Linked DNA regions of Saccharomyces cerevisiae S288C. Changing the gene in region 1 together with any one later gene gives a genetic interaction. Each region holds a gene or a part of one and is shown on either strand. Other genes may lie near its edges.

Evidence for each region.
Region 2: mutations in SEY1 (region 1) and USE1 impair growth when combined (synthetic growth defect), as found in Saccharomyces cerevisiae (4 studies listed by BioGRID, with this or other methods).
Region 3: mutations in SEY1 (region 1) and POM33 together harm fitness more than expected from each alone (negative genetic interaction), as found in Saccharomyces cerevisiae (3 studies listed by BioGRID).
Region 4: mutations in SEY1 (region 1) and UBP3 together harm fitness more than expected from each alone (negative genetic interaction), as found in Saccharomyces cerevisiae (3 studies listed by BioGRID).

The regions. Positions count from the first base shown.
Region 1 is NC_001147.6:642,685-647,443, reverse strand, and holds SEY1 (dynamin-like GTPase SEY1), read right to left. Parts: upstream 2,879-4,759; coding exon 548-2,878; downstream 1-547. Other genes in the region: SWT1 (mRNA-processing endoribonuclease), read left to right, coding at 1-318; protein GET4, read left to right, coding at 3,112-4,050; polyphosphatase DDP1, read right to left, coding at 4,137-4,703. UniProt on the Saccharomyces cerevisiae protein: Cooperates with the reticulon proteins RTN1 and RTN2 and the tubule-shaping DP1 family protein YOP1 to generate and maintain the structure of the tubular endoplasmic reticulum network. Has GTPase activity, which is required for its function in ER organization.
Region 2 is NC_001139.9:315,685-318,593, forward strand, and holds USE1 (SNAP receptor USE1), read left to right. Parts: upstream 1-1,657; coding exon 1,658-2,395; downstream 2,396-2,909. Other genes in the region: ribosome biogenesis GTPase LSG1, read left to right, coding at 1-869. UniProt on the Saccharomyces cerevisiae protein: SNARE required for targeting and fusion of Golgi-derived retrograde transport vesicles with the ER.
Region 3 is NC_001144.5:97,497-100,869, forward strand, and holds POM33 (nucleoporin POM33), read right to left. Parts: upstream 1,341-3,373; coding exon 501-1,340; downstream 1-500. Other genes in the region: HIF1 (Hif1p), read right to left, coding at 1,548-2,705. UniProt on the Saccharomyces cerevisiae protein: Contributes to proper distribution and/or efficient assembly of nuclear pores. Required for normal pore density in the daughter nucleus during telophase.
Region 4 is NC_001137.3:469,167-474,222, reverse strand, and holds UBP3 (mRNA-binding ubiquitin-specific protease UBP3), read left to right. Parts: upstream 1-1,798; coding exon 1,799-4,537; downstream 4,538-5,056. Other genes in the region: PET122 (Pet122p), read left to right, coding at 1-182; YER152C (2-aminoadipate transaminase), read left to right, coding at 235-1,566. UniProt on the Saccharomyces cerevisiae protein: Has an ATP-independent isopeptidase activity, cleaving at the C-terminus of the ubiquitin moiety in natural or engineered linear fusion proteins, irrespective of their size or the presence of an N-terminal extension to ubiquitin.

The DNA.
Region 1 (4,759 bases):
GGTGAAGATATTGGATTCATAGATTACAACCCAGATAAATTAACTACCATAGAAAACGCTTCGAATTACATTTATTTGTTTTGGGTGTCTGTATTTTCGGAACTTTTCACTTGTTCAAAGATAAAGAAGAATGAGTGGAAGAGCTTACCAACAGTTTTGAAATCAAAACCGACAAATCTGAATGACTTAAGAACATTTGAACAATTTTGGGAGACTGTATTGCATTTTTTATTCAGCAAATTCACAAATGAGGAGAAACAATCTTTAGAGAAACAGATTCATGAATGGAAAACATCTATCAATGCTATATCAACCTGAAATGTTTTGCTTAGTGTAAATCTATCAGATTTATTGAAGCCACTCACACAACTCATAAGCTTGCGATATGCATTTGCATATATTTTTAATGTCATATAAATAGTTCCCTATAGTTATATACAAACACACAGACACGTTAGGAGAACAGTAATTATAATAATAACTATAATAACAAAAAAGTAAACACGGTAAATTGAAATAAATTATTCGATCAAAAAATATTTTCATATCATTTTTCTTTTTGCTCGTTTTTTGAGAAATCTTTCATTTCAAAAGATTCCTTCACTTCATGATCTTCAACGACAAATTGCCTTAGTTTATCCTTTATTGCAGTTCTTGTTTCACCAACTGCACTTTGAACAACATTAACAACAGGGCCCCAGAGGCCGAACTTATGAATAACAAAAAAGGTTGCACCTAAGATCAAGGTAAGGGTTACAAATAAGGGGTTTCTTATGACAGCCACGAATTCGTTCCACCCTAATACGGCTAGCAAAACGTAAATCCAAGGTGGAATATGCGTTCTAGTAGTGATGATAGACCTTTTCGAATCCAGAACAGTAATGTTAATCTGCCTGCGGAATTGATCTAAAACATTCTCCTTTTGCAATTCAGTCAAGATGTGTGCGAAACGACGGGAATGAAACACACCTTCGTTGTCCCGATATATTTCGTTGTCCTCGCCGCTTTCCTCTTCAGCCATTGGTACATCAGGAATAATTTCAACGTTATCTGAGGTTACAGCAAGTGAAAGAACCTCAAAAACTTCCAGGGCATGTTCTTTTGCAACACGGAATGCCCCATCAATCTCTTCTTCTGTTTTCCACAATCTTGGAGAACCTTCAGCATCATATCTGAATACATCTTCAAACCTGTCTCTCAATATACTAACAATCGTATCTATTTTCAGGTAGTCATGTACTGTGGTATCCAAGGTTCTCCACGCCAATATTCTAATATTTTTGTAAATCTTCGCGTTTTCGCTCTCTGAAAGTCCAATTTTAAAATCATATTTATCTTTTTCCACTTGATACGCAGATATATTGTCTTTGATAGTAGATTCAAAATCGTTCATTATATCATCCCAAACCTTTTTGGATGGATGTGATAGTAAATGAATCACATGATCCTTTAATTCGGGAACCAGATTTTTTTTAATACGACCGATTTTTGCTTTCAATTCAGCATCACGTAGTTGCTTGATTCTTTCTTCAATATCGTCGGAAAATTTGCAGGTAATCTCTTCGTTTGATATTAGTAGCCCTAACTTTTTGAAGGTCTCCATTGATTCGTTAAATTCTTTCTCAATCTTACTCTTACCTGCCGCCACACTTTCTACAAAAGAGGTAGTAGCTTTGTCTCTAGAAGACACCTCCAATTTTAAATCGTCCCATAACTTTTCCATTAATGATTCCAAGAACTCATTAATTGTACCTGAAATATGTGAATTCAGCTTTGTATTTAAAGCTTCTCGTTTCTCCATATAAACGTTTCTTGCATAGCGCGATGCTTGTTCATCATATTTTGTCAGACATTCTTCTTTTAGCTTCACTAGCTGAGATGTTAAAGATCCCAAGTTACCCTTTAAAGGAGCAATCGATTCATCATATTTTGAAATGAACTCTTCTAGAGCTTCATTAGATATTTCTTCAGTTTTAAATCTAGCAACCAGAATTTGCTGAGTTGGAAGATCTAAATCCTTGTTACGTTCAATTTGATCCCAACAATTTTCTGCGTACATAGTCCAACCATCTAATGGCAACCTATGGTGATATTGAGGTTTGAAATAATAGTTTTCCGTACCTTTCATCACAAACGAATCACCTAATTTCTTGACATCCTGGGTAAATTTGTCTTCTTGCAACAACTTATGAGCTAGCCCGACAAACTTTAAATCGAAATAATCATACAGGCTAGAACCCTCACAACCAGCAGGTTTACTTAACTCTGTCCATATTTTTTCCAATTCTCTCGTAACGGAATCACTCAAACTCGAGAGTGGAGTCACACCTACATGATCTCTAATTACAAAAAGTAACAGCACCTTGTGGTCATTATCATTCTTGCCAAATAGGGAAAGGTTGACCTCAAAAACTGTTTTTAATAAAGCCATATTATTACCTTGATATAGCCCAATTTGCTGCTCCCACATATTAACTATAAGAACTTCAGATACTGCAATGGCAAATAAAGCGGCTTTTCTCTCAAAATCTTGGTCTTCACCTCTTTCTGAACCATCGGAGCCCTCAACATCTAGCACAAAAATATCTGGACGATCATTATCGATTTCAATAGTTGTATTAACCTGTTTAGTGTGAGCCAACCAAATGCCTTTAGTAGTCTGCTGCCTTTTCACCTGAGCATCCATGGTATCAAAGTTGGTGTTAAACAAGACGTTAAGTAAAGTCGATTTACCACTCGATTGAGAACCGAAAACTGAGATGACATGGTAATCTAGACCAACATCACGATTTCCAATACATTGTTGAAAATATTGTAATGCACTTTGATGAAATTCCTTCTCTTCATCTATCAACTGAATAGCAGGTCTATCAGCCATGACTAAAGTATGTCAACCGTCGAGTGAGTTAGTAGCCCGTTTGTTGAAATAAGTCAATAATTATTTACCATCAAAATACACCTTTCAGTATTTTGTTCGTTTTGTCGCTCTTCGTTAAGGTAACAAACAATGGGAAAAAAAGTGAAAGGAAAGTCAAAAAAATGAAATAATAACATGTGCGGTAAAACAACCAAGTAAACATCATAAAGGGACATAAATAATAATAACAAGCTATGGTTCCTGCTGAATCTAATGCTGTACAAGCGAAACTCGCTAAAACCTTACAAAGATTCGAAAATAAGATCAAAGCTGGAGATTATTACGAAGCGCATCAAACGTTGAGAACTATTGCTAATAGATATGTTAGAAGTAAATCATACGAGCATGCCATAGAACTAATTAGTCAAGGGGCCCTTTCATTTTTAAAGGCGAAGCAGGGCGGTTCAGGCACGGATTTGATCTTCTATCTTTTAGAAGTTTATGATTTAGCGGAAGTTAAAGTTGATGACATCTCAGTTGCTAGATTGGTTAGATTAATAGCCGAATTGGATCCTAGCGAGCCCAATTTAAAGGACGTTATTACTGGTATGAACAATTGGTCTATCAAATTTAGTGAATACAAATTTGGAGATCCTTACTTGCACAACACCATTGGTAGCAAACTATTAGAGGGAGATTTCGTTTATGAAGCTGAGAGATATTTTATGTTAGGTACACATGATTCAATGATCAAATATGTCGATTTACTATGGGACTGGTTATGCCAAGTTGATGATATCGAAGATAGCACGGTGGCTGAGTTCTTCAGCAGATTGGTTTTCAACTATTTATTCATCTCTAACATATCATTTGCACATGAATCAAAAGACATTTTTTTGGAAAGATTTATTGAGAAATTTCACCCCAAGTACGAGAAAATTGATAAAAATGGTTATGAAATAGTTTTTTTTGAAGATTATTCCGACCTAAATTTTTTGCAATTGTTGCTAATTACCTGTCAGACTAAGGATAAGAGCTATTTCTTGAATTTAAAGAACCATTATTTAGATTTTTCTCAAGCTTACAAAAGTGAGTTAGAATTTTTGGGCCAGGAATATTTCAATATTGTTGCTCCTAAACAAACGAATTTCCTACAAGACATGATGTCGGGATTCCTGGGCGGATCGAAGTGAAAAGAGCATATTTGCGAAGGAATAGATAAATATGTTTGCGGTGGCTTGACGACCATGACGTATATACATATATATGTATGTGCTAGCTATTTGTCGTCTTTAATGATAGCAGACCTATTAAGGGCCTCCAACAATTCAGGCCTCTTGGCGTCTATCAAGTTTTGTTTAGCTTCTGTATAAGAGTATAGCTTTCTATGTCTTTTGTGACATTCCGGAAATTTATCAAGGAGATTTTCAATCTCTAATTCATAAAAATGAAATTCGGTTCTTGGCGGGTGCTTTGCTACTTCTGAATCTTTTCGAGAGTTCTCGAATTGCTTAATGTCTTTGTTCCAGTCCTTAGGGGGTCTCATGTCTTCAACTGTACCCAAATTGGCGACAATTTTACCTATGCAACCAGCTTCCTCCCAAGTTTCTCGTTGGGCAGTCGTCTCGTAATTAGGCTCGTCTTTCTCAACGCCACCTTTGGGGACAATCCATCTTTTCTTGTGTGCAGAAGAAGTAATCATGAGAACTTGCTTCTTGTCGGGTGTTAAACATATGCAGCCAGCAACTAATCTTGCACCTGTAACGGGTGAGTAAACCTGGTTTTCTCTTCCTTCACGTGCTGTCTCAGAACGTACTGGACCATGATTATCCGCGGTTTTGCCCATTTTGTGTTTCCCCACGCTCTTATACTCCTACGTACTCACTGTTCCTGACCTTTCAG
Region 2 (2,909 bases), on another chromosome or scaffold:
CTATTAATTCGCTCGTGGGTGCCAAGAAAGTTTCTGTTTCATCCACGCCTGGTAAAACAAAACACTTCCAAACTATTAAGTTATCTGATTCTGTCATGCTTTGTGACTGTCCCGGTCTTGTCTTCCCAAACTTTGCATATAACAAGGGTGAGCTCGTGTGTAATGGTGTTTTACCTATTGATCAATTACGTGATTATATTGGTCCAGCAGGTTTAGTAGCAGAAAGAATACCAAAGTATTACATTGAAGCGATTTATGGTATCCATATTCAAACCAAATCAAGGGATGAAGGTGGGAATGGGGATATACCAACTGCTCAAGAATTGTTAGTCGCATACGCCAGAGCTCGTGGTTATATGACTCAAGGTTACGGTTCTGCTGATGAACCAAGAGCAAGTCGTTATATATTGAAAGATTACGTCAATGGGAAATTACTGTATGTCAACCCTCCGCCCCATCTAGAGGATGATACACCTTACACTAGAGAAGAGTGTGAAGAATTTAACAAAGATTTATATGTGTTCGACAGATTACCGGACACCAGAAAGGAGCAAGTGCAAAATGCTGCTAAGGCTAAAGGCATTGATATCGTGGATTTAGCTCGTGATTTGAATCAGCTAACGTTTTCAGCTCACACTGGTGGTGACACACAAAAAGAAGCCAAATCTGTTACGCACGGTGGTAAACAAGCTGCATTGTACAATGCCGCTGAGGACTTGGATAGAGACTTCTTCAAGATGAACAACGTCGAAGGTAGATTAAGTACACCATTCCACAAAGTTCAAAATAGTTCAGCTGGTAAGAGACATAACAAAAAAAACAAAAGTAAAAATGCGAAAAGCAAAGTTTTTAGCATTGAAAATAATTAGCGGTAACTAACATATATCTTCTCAAAAAAACTGTGTACTATTATCTTTTCATCTCGCCAATTAATGACAGCGTTATTTGAGAATAGACCTAAGATAATAAAACTATGTTCGTTACCCGGACAAATTTTCTTGGAAGAATTTTTGAGTCCTAGAGATATTATAAAACGGCCCTCTATTAATTTGCTCTTTCTTTCCTCAGTTTAATTCTTCTTTCGAATAAAAAATAAAAATATCATGGCTCTTCAACACATTTCAACATGTTCAAGTAATTTGTGTTAGTGGATGACCATTTAGGGGCTGCTGGCCTGGTTACCGGGAGTTTTTCTTGGATCCAAGCTAGCTTTTCCGTCTGATTATCCTTAAGCTTCACAAATTACAATTTTTCCCACGCATTAAGAAATAAGCTCAAGATGCCTAAAATAAGTTCTATCCCGCCTTTTTTCGCTAACAATGACTGAGTATTCCCACAGTCTATAGTTTGATAGTAGATGGGCGGAAATTTTTCTCATATATTTACTTTTTATAGGAGAGTATATTTACGTACGTATAGTGATTGCATGTAGTTGCTCCCTATATCTTGTCATATGAGCGTGATACTGACCGATACCTGTTACAGATGTCGGTCTGGATTTGTTCGTTTTTCTTCCCTAAAGTAGGTCAGTATATATAAAATATGGCCGGAGGAAAGCTTCACCACTTTATCACCACTAAATTTATAAAGTAGAATACAATTTCAACATACACAGAGAATAAAAAAAGGTTGACAGGACACATAATAGCAAGGCAAGATGGCTGAAACTTCCAACGACCCCTTTCTGTCCTACGTTTTGAGTAGCAAACAATTAACTAATTTGAATCGTCTACGAAGGAAAGCAGTTACAAAACAACTGGGATCAAGTGACGACAATAAGGTCTCAGAGGAGTTTTTGAGGTATCAACATACTTATCAAAGAGAAGCATTTGAATATCTGCAAACAAAACATGACGCCCACAAAATAATGGAGTCACAGTACGAACAGTACCAAAGCAGTTCAAAAACAAGAAGATATAGTATCGATTTAGATTCTGTAGATGCAGTTGACACGGAATCGCAAACAGAATACCCAAATGAGGAGTTTATTGATAGAAACGAAGATAGCGAAGCTGTTATGGAGTTGAGAAAGAGATTGTTGGGGAAGGGACAGAATAAGGGTTTAGGATATGAAACTACGAAATCAGTCGATAGGCAAATTGAGGACCAGGACACGTTGCAACAGGATTTGATTCAGGATATGAGCAAACTTGTGGGCAGTTTGAAGCAAGGAGCTGTGGCATTTCAATCAGCACTTGATGAAGATAAGCAAGTTCTTGGAGCTGCAGAGATAGGTATTCAAGTTGCTTCTCAAGGTTTAATGGATGTTAGCGGTAAATTAAGGAAATATGACAAGAGTAAATTGAGTTACTTGTTTTATATTACTGTTTTCATTTTTATGATTCTCGGACTGGTGTTTACATTTATCATAATTCAATTATTCCCGGCCCTATAATGTAATTATAACGATGGAATGATGTTTTTTGGAAGAAAAATTCAACTGTTTATTAATATTTACGGCATTTTTTCATGTAGTTGAGATTATTCCTATTGAAAAAAGCAAATTGTGAGAAAAAAGTATACAATAAAATTTGTATAGGCTGCAGAATTCTCCTTTCCGTATAGTTGCCTACTTCCCGTCTCAAACTGAATCCTGCTATCTGATTGCTTTCTGTGTTGGTGCGGTGAATCTTTTTATACATATAATATTTGAAAAAGAATAAACATTTGAGAAAACAAAAGTAGCTAAACAAAACGACAAAATCATAACATTTCCTGATCTGACTGAAAGCTAATAGAACAGCAGTGTTCGATGAGGGTAAAATAAGGAGGGGTCTTCGGTTACGTTATACTAGTAAGTTGATTTTGATTTTAAGTCATATTATTGAACGCATTATGATGATACTCATAATGGACTAAATTTTTCTCATGTATAAGGTCCATAGTAGCCAAGTGCATTCCATTACAAT
Region 3 (3,373 bases), on another chromosome or scaffold:
TTCTGTATAAAATCTGCTTGATCTGTTGGAATTAATCAATTGAAGAATAGAAGTAACTTAAATAAGAGAGTATTATATTTTCAACATTTTTTGGAGAAAACCCAGCCCAATTGCGGCTTATATATAACAATTCGTCCACACCTTCCCATAGTGCTTAAGAATGAAATTTCGTCAAAACCTCGAAGCTTTTTTTTTCGAAATCTTCGATGGAATGTTCTAGAAAAAAACTTCGAGAAAGTGAATCGGAAGAACTTCTCGGAAAAAAAAGCTTCGGAAATACTACGAATAAGGGCCCAAGAGAGAGTAAGAATGCAGTGCCATGCAGTCAATTCACCACTGTGAGACCGTAAAAGGGTTGGTTGAGTAACTCAATTCAAGGAATAAAGATATAAAATTGATAAAAAATATATAACAAATTGTAACAAAAAGCAAAAGAGAGGAGTGGAATGTTATACAAAGTAATTAGAAGGTATTGAACTTGTAAAAAGTAATAATAAAACTCAATTCTGCTTCTTGGTCACTTGTGGGGCACCGCTTAAGCGGTACTCAGACAAGCGGATCAAGCTCATTTTAATTGCATTATAAGCTCTTTTGACGAATGGTGGGATAGATGGGTGGCTTATGATCCCGTCCATTCTAACTCTCCATTGAGCAAAGGCGGCTTTCATGTACTTGGAGTTTTCGTATCTTAACTTAATAAAGATGGCGTACACAACAAGTATGATCCAAGACCTTTGGAAGCACAGAATGGCTCTGAAAAGGACCAAAATGAAAATAAGCAGCTCAGCAGTACCGACCCAGTGCATGCACAAGTCATTGTACTGAACAACAAACTTGTCGATGAAGCTGAGGATCTTACTTGAATCTTTACTGGAAAGGTGGAAGACTTTTGGTAAGAGAACTTTTTCAACGTAGATTAAAACATGGAATACAGCAAACGCGAAAAATGGGATTAAGCTGAATGAAAATCTTGGAGTGAACAACCAGAAGTTGGCCAAAACCAAATAAAGCACGTCTTCACTCTTTAGGAGTCCAGCAACGCGTGATTTTATGGAAGCCTTAGTGGCAGCGGCATCTTGAGTCTGCAATGGTTCATTGCGGGTGAAAAATTGCTGGTAAATGATGATACCGAAAGATTCGATGACACCGAGATATGCCGATCTGTAATAAAATTCTGACATCTTGAGCAGGTAAAGAATGGAGCTGATCAATACGACGGAATGACCGGTAAACCATGCAAACTGCAAGCTCTTGGCTACTGCCATGAACCTTTGCACGAGCGACTTATCTCTGGCAGGGAGGTTTGGGGGGCCTTGGTTATTAGCGGGTCTTGATGACATTATACTGACTATTCTTGGCTAGTGTTTCTTGCTCCTTATGAATAGAGAAAAATGACTTTTTTTAGATGTAGTAAGTATGTCATTTCAGGGATGGTCTGCTTGCTCTTTAAATATTTTTTCACCCTTTTAAAATGGGGCCCTTTCGCCGTACCAAAGAAGGAGAAATATACATTACGTATGTAGGTTGCTACATTTTACACAAAACTATCAATGCCTTCTAGGCTTCTTCTTGACCAGTTGAGAGAGATCATTGAAGTCACCAAGGGGCTTTTCGAGGGCGGGGAAGCCGATGGAGGTCGTGGGCTGCGAAAGAGGCCTCTTGGAGCCGTGCTGCTGATTTTCTTGCACCTCATCAATATCGTCTTGAATCTGTGCGAGCCTTGCCTGCTGTAACTCGCTGTCCTTGGGTCTTGTAGTCATGTGTTTTTCAAGCAGAGCCTTGGCATGCTTGAATCTTTTTAGTTTGTCCTTAGCCGGCACCTGATCAACCCACCTTAAAGCATCACACACCAAAAATTCTGCTTGTATCACCTTCTCAGTTACTTGTTCTGCGGGTTTCAAGGTCTTGTAATAGCCAAGCGCCTTCAAGTAATGATGAATGGCTCTACTGAACATCTCCGCCTCCCTTTCGATGTCACCCATCAGGATATACACATCACCGATGCGCAATCTGCTGTTCTCGGTTAGAGATTGGCCATCTGCTGTAGGGCGGCCCAACAGCATCAAGGCCTGCGCCAGTAGGTCCAAAGCATTCTCATACAGATCATTTTCAAAGTAAATGTGGAAACCAGACTTGCGAAGTTGCGATACGTCTTCAATTTCATCGTCATGTTCATTCGCTGGACTGAAGTTAGCCAATTCGTGCAAAGCTAAGCGTTCTTCCTCTTTCTCCACGTTTTCTTCCTCTTCTTCGCTACCTTCGCCACTGTCCTCACTATCACCACTGTCGACATCACCAGTCAAGTCTTCCTCTTCTTGGTCGAATTGGAACATCCTAGAATTAGGAATTTCTGTTTGACCGTTCTCGTTCCCCTCTTCTCCATTGCTCACATCAGACTCAGGCTCAGACTCAGACTCAGACCCAGATCCATCGTCACCTGCCAGAAGAGCGTCCCCAAACAGATTACCAGAATTCTGTACTTCCATGTTGTATACAGCTTGTGCGAATATAGTAAACAGTTCAGGATCAGGCAACAAACCATCTTTTGGGAGAGAGTCCAAAGTTTGTTGGCAGCGTTTAGCAGCTTCTAAGAACTTTTTCTGTGCGAGTAAATCTTTTGCAATTTGAACCTGTCTTTCCATATCAATTTGAACTTTATGTCTGCTAGTTCCGTTTGCCAACACGTCTTCTGCCCTTAGTTTCATATTCTGTTACTTCTAGAAGGAGACCTCATCGCCGATGTTACCTCAAAATTGAGTAGAATGAAATAATACAAAATTGGAAAAAACGCGAAACTTCAGTGCAGTAACATATCGTTCCGACATTCTCTGAGAAGTGGTAAGATTCCACTGCCGGGGAGCTACGAGTGCTCTTGCAAGTTTTTAGACACTGCTATATCCTTCGACTACGTAACCCCATTTTTTTATTTTTCTATATAAAAACATGCACTGTATACATATAATCACGTAAGTTCAAGTCGTGCTTAAAACGGGCACAGAAAACTAACTATGAGTTGCCGTACCATACATAAACTAGGAGAAGGTAGCGCAGTTCTTTTTTTTTACCAAAGGTTTGCACAAAAAAGATGGTCTAACGTAAGTAAGTTATCAATAAAACTGTTAAAAGTAGTATAAGAATCTTGAGATAGGCTTATTATTATGACTTTTTATGGCGGAAAAGGAAGAAGAAATACTGCGCCGGGTGATGCGTGACGCGTTTTTGGAAACGATGAGAATAAACTTTGAAGTATTTTGAGAATAATATTCTATTATCGAGTTCTTTCAGCAGAAAGCAACACATAGCTACGTATAGTTCGGTAAGATAAATTTGGTCAGAAGCGTGTGAAAGACGCTGAGAAACCACGTGAGACGAA
Region 4 (5,056 bases), on another chromosome or scaffold:
AGCCCCTAGTGATAAAGAACGAATGGTCACTACCGCTACTACTGGCTGGTGTCCTTTGGCATGTTCCCGGCCCAGCGCAGGCGCGACGTGTGCTGGCGGAGTTCCGTCAAAGTTATCGCGGGCTGCCGCTGCTGGATGCCGAACTAGTGATAAAGAGAAGAGGATTTGAAATCAACACATAAATCTGGGTGGAGCATCGCTGTAACAAGGAACAACGCGTGCTAGCAAGCGGTAATGAAATACAAGGAAATCAATTTCTTCAAGGGCCATCCGAGCTCGAGGTTGCTGCCTCGAGAAGCAGTAATTCAAGCGACTGCGGCTATATTGGGGCCCGAGACCAGGGAGTACGATAACGACCCCTATAACAGGCATCCGCTGACGTACGGTTCGGACGAAGGTGCCCTGTGGGTGCGAGAGCAGATTTGTACGTTTCTGAATGATCAGCTGTTTAAGTTCGAAAATGGGGCTCGGAGCAGGACACGGGCAGACTATTTGAATCTGAATAGCGGCGCTTCGTATGGCATGCTGAACATCCTTCTGCAAACAACCTTGCCACATAACGGGTATACCAGGCAGGCGTTCATCATCACGCCAACATATTTCTTGATCAACAATTGCTTCACAGATGCGGGATTCAAGGGGAAAATGACCGCCATCAACGAGCAGGGCCACGACTCGATTGATTTCGAGTCGTTGATTTCTGCCCTTGAGCAGCACGAGGCGGAGCCGCAGCCCCATAGTACCACAGAGATGATTCAGGGGCCAAAGTTGACCAAGAAGGTCTACAGGTACGTTATGTACTGCATCCCGACGTTTGCAAACCCATCGGGAAACACATACTCGCTTGAGACCAGACGCAGACTTATCGACATCGCTCGGAAGTACGACATGCTGATAATCACTGATGACGTGTACGATATTCTAGATTACACGACGCCCTCAGATGAGCTGCCCTCTCCGCCCCTAAGGATGGTGCACATAGACAGAAGTACAGCGCCCTCCGGTGAGGACTCGTTCGGGAATACAGTGTCCAACGCAACTTTCTCCAAGCTGATCGCCCCTGGGCTCAGATTTGGATACCATGAGTCAATCAACGCGAATCTCGCCAGACAGCTATCTAAAGGTGGTGCAAACGTCTCTGGCGGAACTCCCTCACAACTGAACTCCATGATCGTGGGTGAGATGCTGCGTAGTGGTGCCGCCCAGAGATGCATTGCACATCTGAGATCCGTATACTCCGAGAGGGCCACTGTCTTGACCTCGGCGCTTAAGAAATACATGCCCCTAGGAACCGAGATTATGCCATTGAAGGGCGGCTATTTTACTTGGATCACTCTCCCACCAGCGTACAATGCCATGGAGATATCCACTATTCTTGCCAAGAAATTTAATGTCATCCTTGCCGACGGCTCCAATTTCGAGGTCATCGGCGATGAGAAAAACTGGGGTCAGTCATGCTTTAGGCTTTCTATTAGTTTCTTAGAAGTTGATGATATCGACAGGGGCATTGAGCTGTTTGGTGCTGTTTGCAAATCTCATGCGATCACCAATAACATAACTATGTAGAAGGAATACGTATATAGGTGAACGGTAATAAGAGGGTAATTTTTCTACGGGCAAAGGCAAGGAAGAAAAAGAAAAAGAAGGAAAAAAATATAATGTGATAAAACAAACAAGCAGCGAAAAAGCGAAAGGGAAGAGAAGTGTTTCTAGAGAAGAAAGTCATTTTAATAGTAAGTCAGACTCGTCTGCTACCATCATCCAGGTACCGCTTTCCTTTCCATCATCATTAAAAAAAATGAACATGCAAGACGCTAACAAAGAAGAGTCGTACTCGATGTACCCGAAAACCTCTTCTCCACCACCACCTACGCCAACCAATATGCAGATTCCTATTTATCAAGCGCCTTTGCAGATGTACGGCTACACTCAGGCCCCATATCTATACCCCACACAAATACCTGCCTATTCGTTTAATATGGTCAACCAAAACCAGCCAATCTACCATCAAAGTGGCAGCCCACATCACTTGCCTCCGCAAAACAATATTAACGGCGGAAGCACTACCAATAACAACAACATTAACAAGAAGAAGTGGCACTCTAATGGCATTACCAATAACAATGGAAGCAGCGGTAATCAAGGCGCCAACTCTAGCGGTAGCGGCATGAGCTACAACAAATCCCACACCTACCATCACAATTACTCTAACAATCATATCCCCATGATGGCCTCTCCAAACAGTGGCAGCAATGCGGGCATGAAAAAACAGACCAACTCTTCCAACGGCAACGGTTCTTCGGCTACTTCACCATCGTACTCTTCCTACAACTCTTCTTCACAGTATGATTTATACAAGTTTGATGTCACTAAATTAAAGAATCTCAAGGAAAATTCATCAAACTTGATTCAATTGCCACTGTTCATAAACACTACGGAAGCAGAATTTGCTGCGGCAAGTGTCCAAAGGTACGAATTAAACATGAAGGCTTTGAACCTAAACTCTGAAAGCTTAGAGAACTCATCTGTAGAAAAGAGCTCTGCCCATCATCACACAAAAAGCCATAGTATACCAAAGCATAATGAGGAAGTAAAGACAGAAACACATGGGGAAGAAGAAGATGCTCATGATAAAAAACCACATGCGAGCAAAGATGCGCACGAGCTTAAAAAGAAAACTGAAGTAAAGAAAGAGGATGCTAAGCAAGACCGTAACGAAAAAGTTATACAGGAACCTCAAGCTACTGTTTTACCTGTAGTGGATAAGAAGGAACCAGAGGAATCTGTTGAAGAAAATACTTCCAAGACATCTTCACCTTCACCATCTCCTCCAGCAGCAAAATCCTGGTCCGCCATAGCATCAGATGCGATTAAAAGTAGACAAGCTAGTAACAAAACAGTCTCCGGATCGATGGTCACTAAAACACCAATTTCTGGTACGACCGCAGGCGTTTCATCAACAAACATGGCTGCGGCGACTATAGGTAAATCCAGCTCTCCCCTGTTGTCCAAGCAGCCTCAGAAAAAGGATAAAAAATACGTTCCACCTTCTACAAAGGGTATTGAGCCACTGGGTTCGATTGCGTTAAGAATGTGTTTTGATCCCGATTTCATTAGTTACGTTTTACGGAATAAAGATGTTGAAAACAAAATACCAGTCCATTCCATTATTCCAAGAGGCATAATTAACAGAGCCAACATTTGTTTTATGAGTTCTGTGTTACAAGTGTTACTCTACTGTAAGCCATTTATTGATGTAATTAACGTTCTCAGTACACGGAATACCAATTCAAGAGTCGGCACATCATCCTGTAAATTATTAGATGCTTGTTTGACTATGTATAAGCAATTCGATAAGGAAACCTATGAGAAAAAATTCCTAGAGAATGCTGATGATGCTGAAAAAACCACGGAAAGTGATGCAAAAAAATCATCAAAATCCAAGAGTTTCCAACACTGCGCCACTGCCGATGCTGTCAAACCTGACGAATTTTACAAAACTTTGTCTACTATACCGAAGTTCAAAGACTTGCAATGGGGCCATCAGGAAGACGCAGAAGAATTTTTGACCCACTTATTGGACCAATTACACGAGGAATTAATTTCTGCAATTGATGGCTTAACCGATAATGAAATTCAAAATATGCTGCAAAGTATTAATGATGAACAATTGAAAGTTTTCTTTATTAGAAATTTGTCACGTTATGGAAAAGCAGAGTTTATCAAAAATGCTAGTCCTAGACTGAAGGAGTTGATAGAAAAATATGGCGTGATCAATGATGACTCTACCGAAGAAAATGGTTGGCATGAAGTGAGCGGATCTAGCAAAAGAGGCAAGAAAACTAAGACCGCTGCCAAGAGGACTGTCGAGATTGTTCCATCACCAATCTCCAAACTTTTCGGTGGCCAGTTCAGATCTGTGTTAGATATACCGAACAATAAGGAATCTCAATCGATTACACTCGATCCGTTCCAAACAATTCAATTGGACATTTCAGATGCTGGTGTGAATGATCTAGAAACTGCATTCAAAAAATTTAGTGAATACGAATTGCTACCCTTTAAGTCCTCGTCAGGGAATGATGTCGAGGCCAAGAAGCAGACTTTTATTGATAAATTGCCGCAAGTTCTTTTAATCCAATTCAAAAGATTCTCATTCATAAATAATGTGAACAAAGACAACGCAATGACGAACTATAACGCGTACAATGGACGTATTGAGAAGATCAGGAAAAAAATTAAATATGGTCACGAGTTAATCATACCTGAAGAATCAATGTCTTCCATAACATTGAAAAACAACACCTCAGGGATTGATGATAGAAGATATAAGCTAACCGGAGTTATATACCATCATGGGGTAAGTTCCGATGGCGGTCATTACACAGCGGATGTTTATCATAGCGAGCACAACAAATGGTATAGAATAGATGATGTAAATATTACCGAACTAGAGGACGATGACGTTTTGAAAGGTGGCGAAGAAGCTTCTGATTCGAGGACTGCCTATATTTTAATGTATCAAAAGAGAAATTAAGACGGGGGGTGGTATTATAGACAAAATACATAAAAAATAATATAGCAATAATACAATACAATACAATACAATACGATAGTGAGCACGATTTTAAAAAAGAAATAGAGACAGACAGAGAAACAGAGTTACACTTTATGCTTGGCATATTTAAAAAATGATTTCGCCCAGGATCGAACTGGGGACGTTCTGCGTGTTAAGCAGATGCCATAACCGACTAGACCACGAAACCAATTATTTCTTGGAGATGAACATTTAAGAAACAAATACCTTGTAGAAGGAATGTGAATTTCAAAATATTATGGCCTTTGGCAACAATGGAATCACAACAATTATCACAAAACTCATACATCTCTTAAGATTCATTTCTTACTTTAAGTAATCATCCAAATTTAGCCAAAGTTTGATTTTACCTAAAAAAAGCAGAGGATTCCCGATTTCAATCATATGTGCACAGACGATGAGTCCAACACGTTATCGTTAACATAGTGCTCAATATTGCCACTGCGCTTCGCAGGAGCA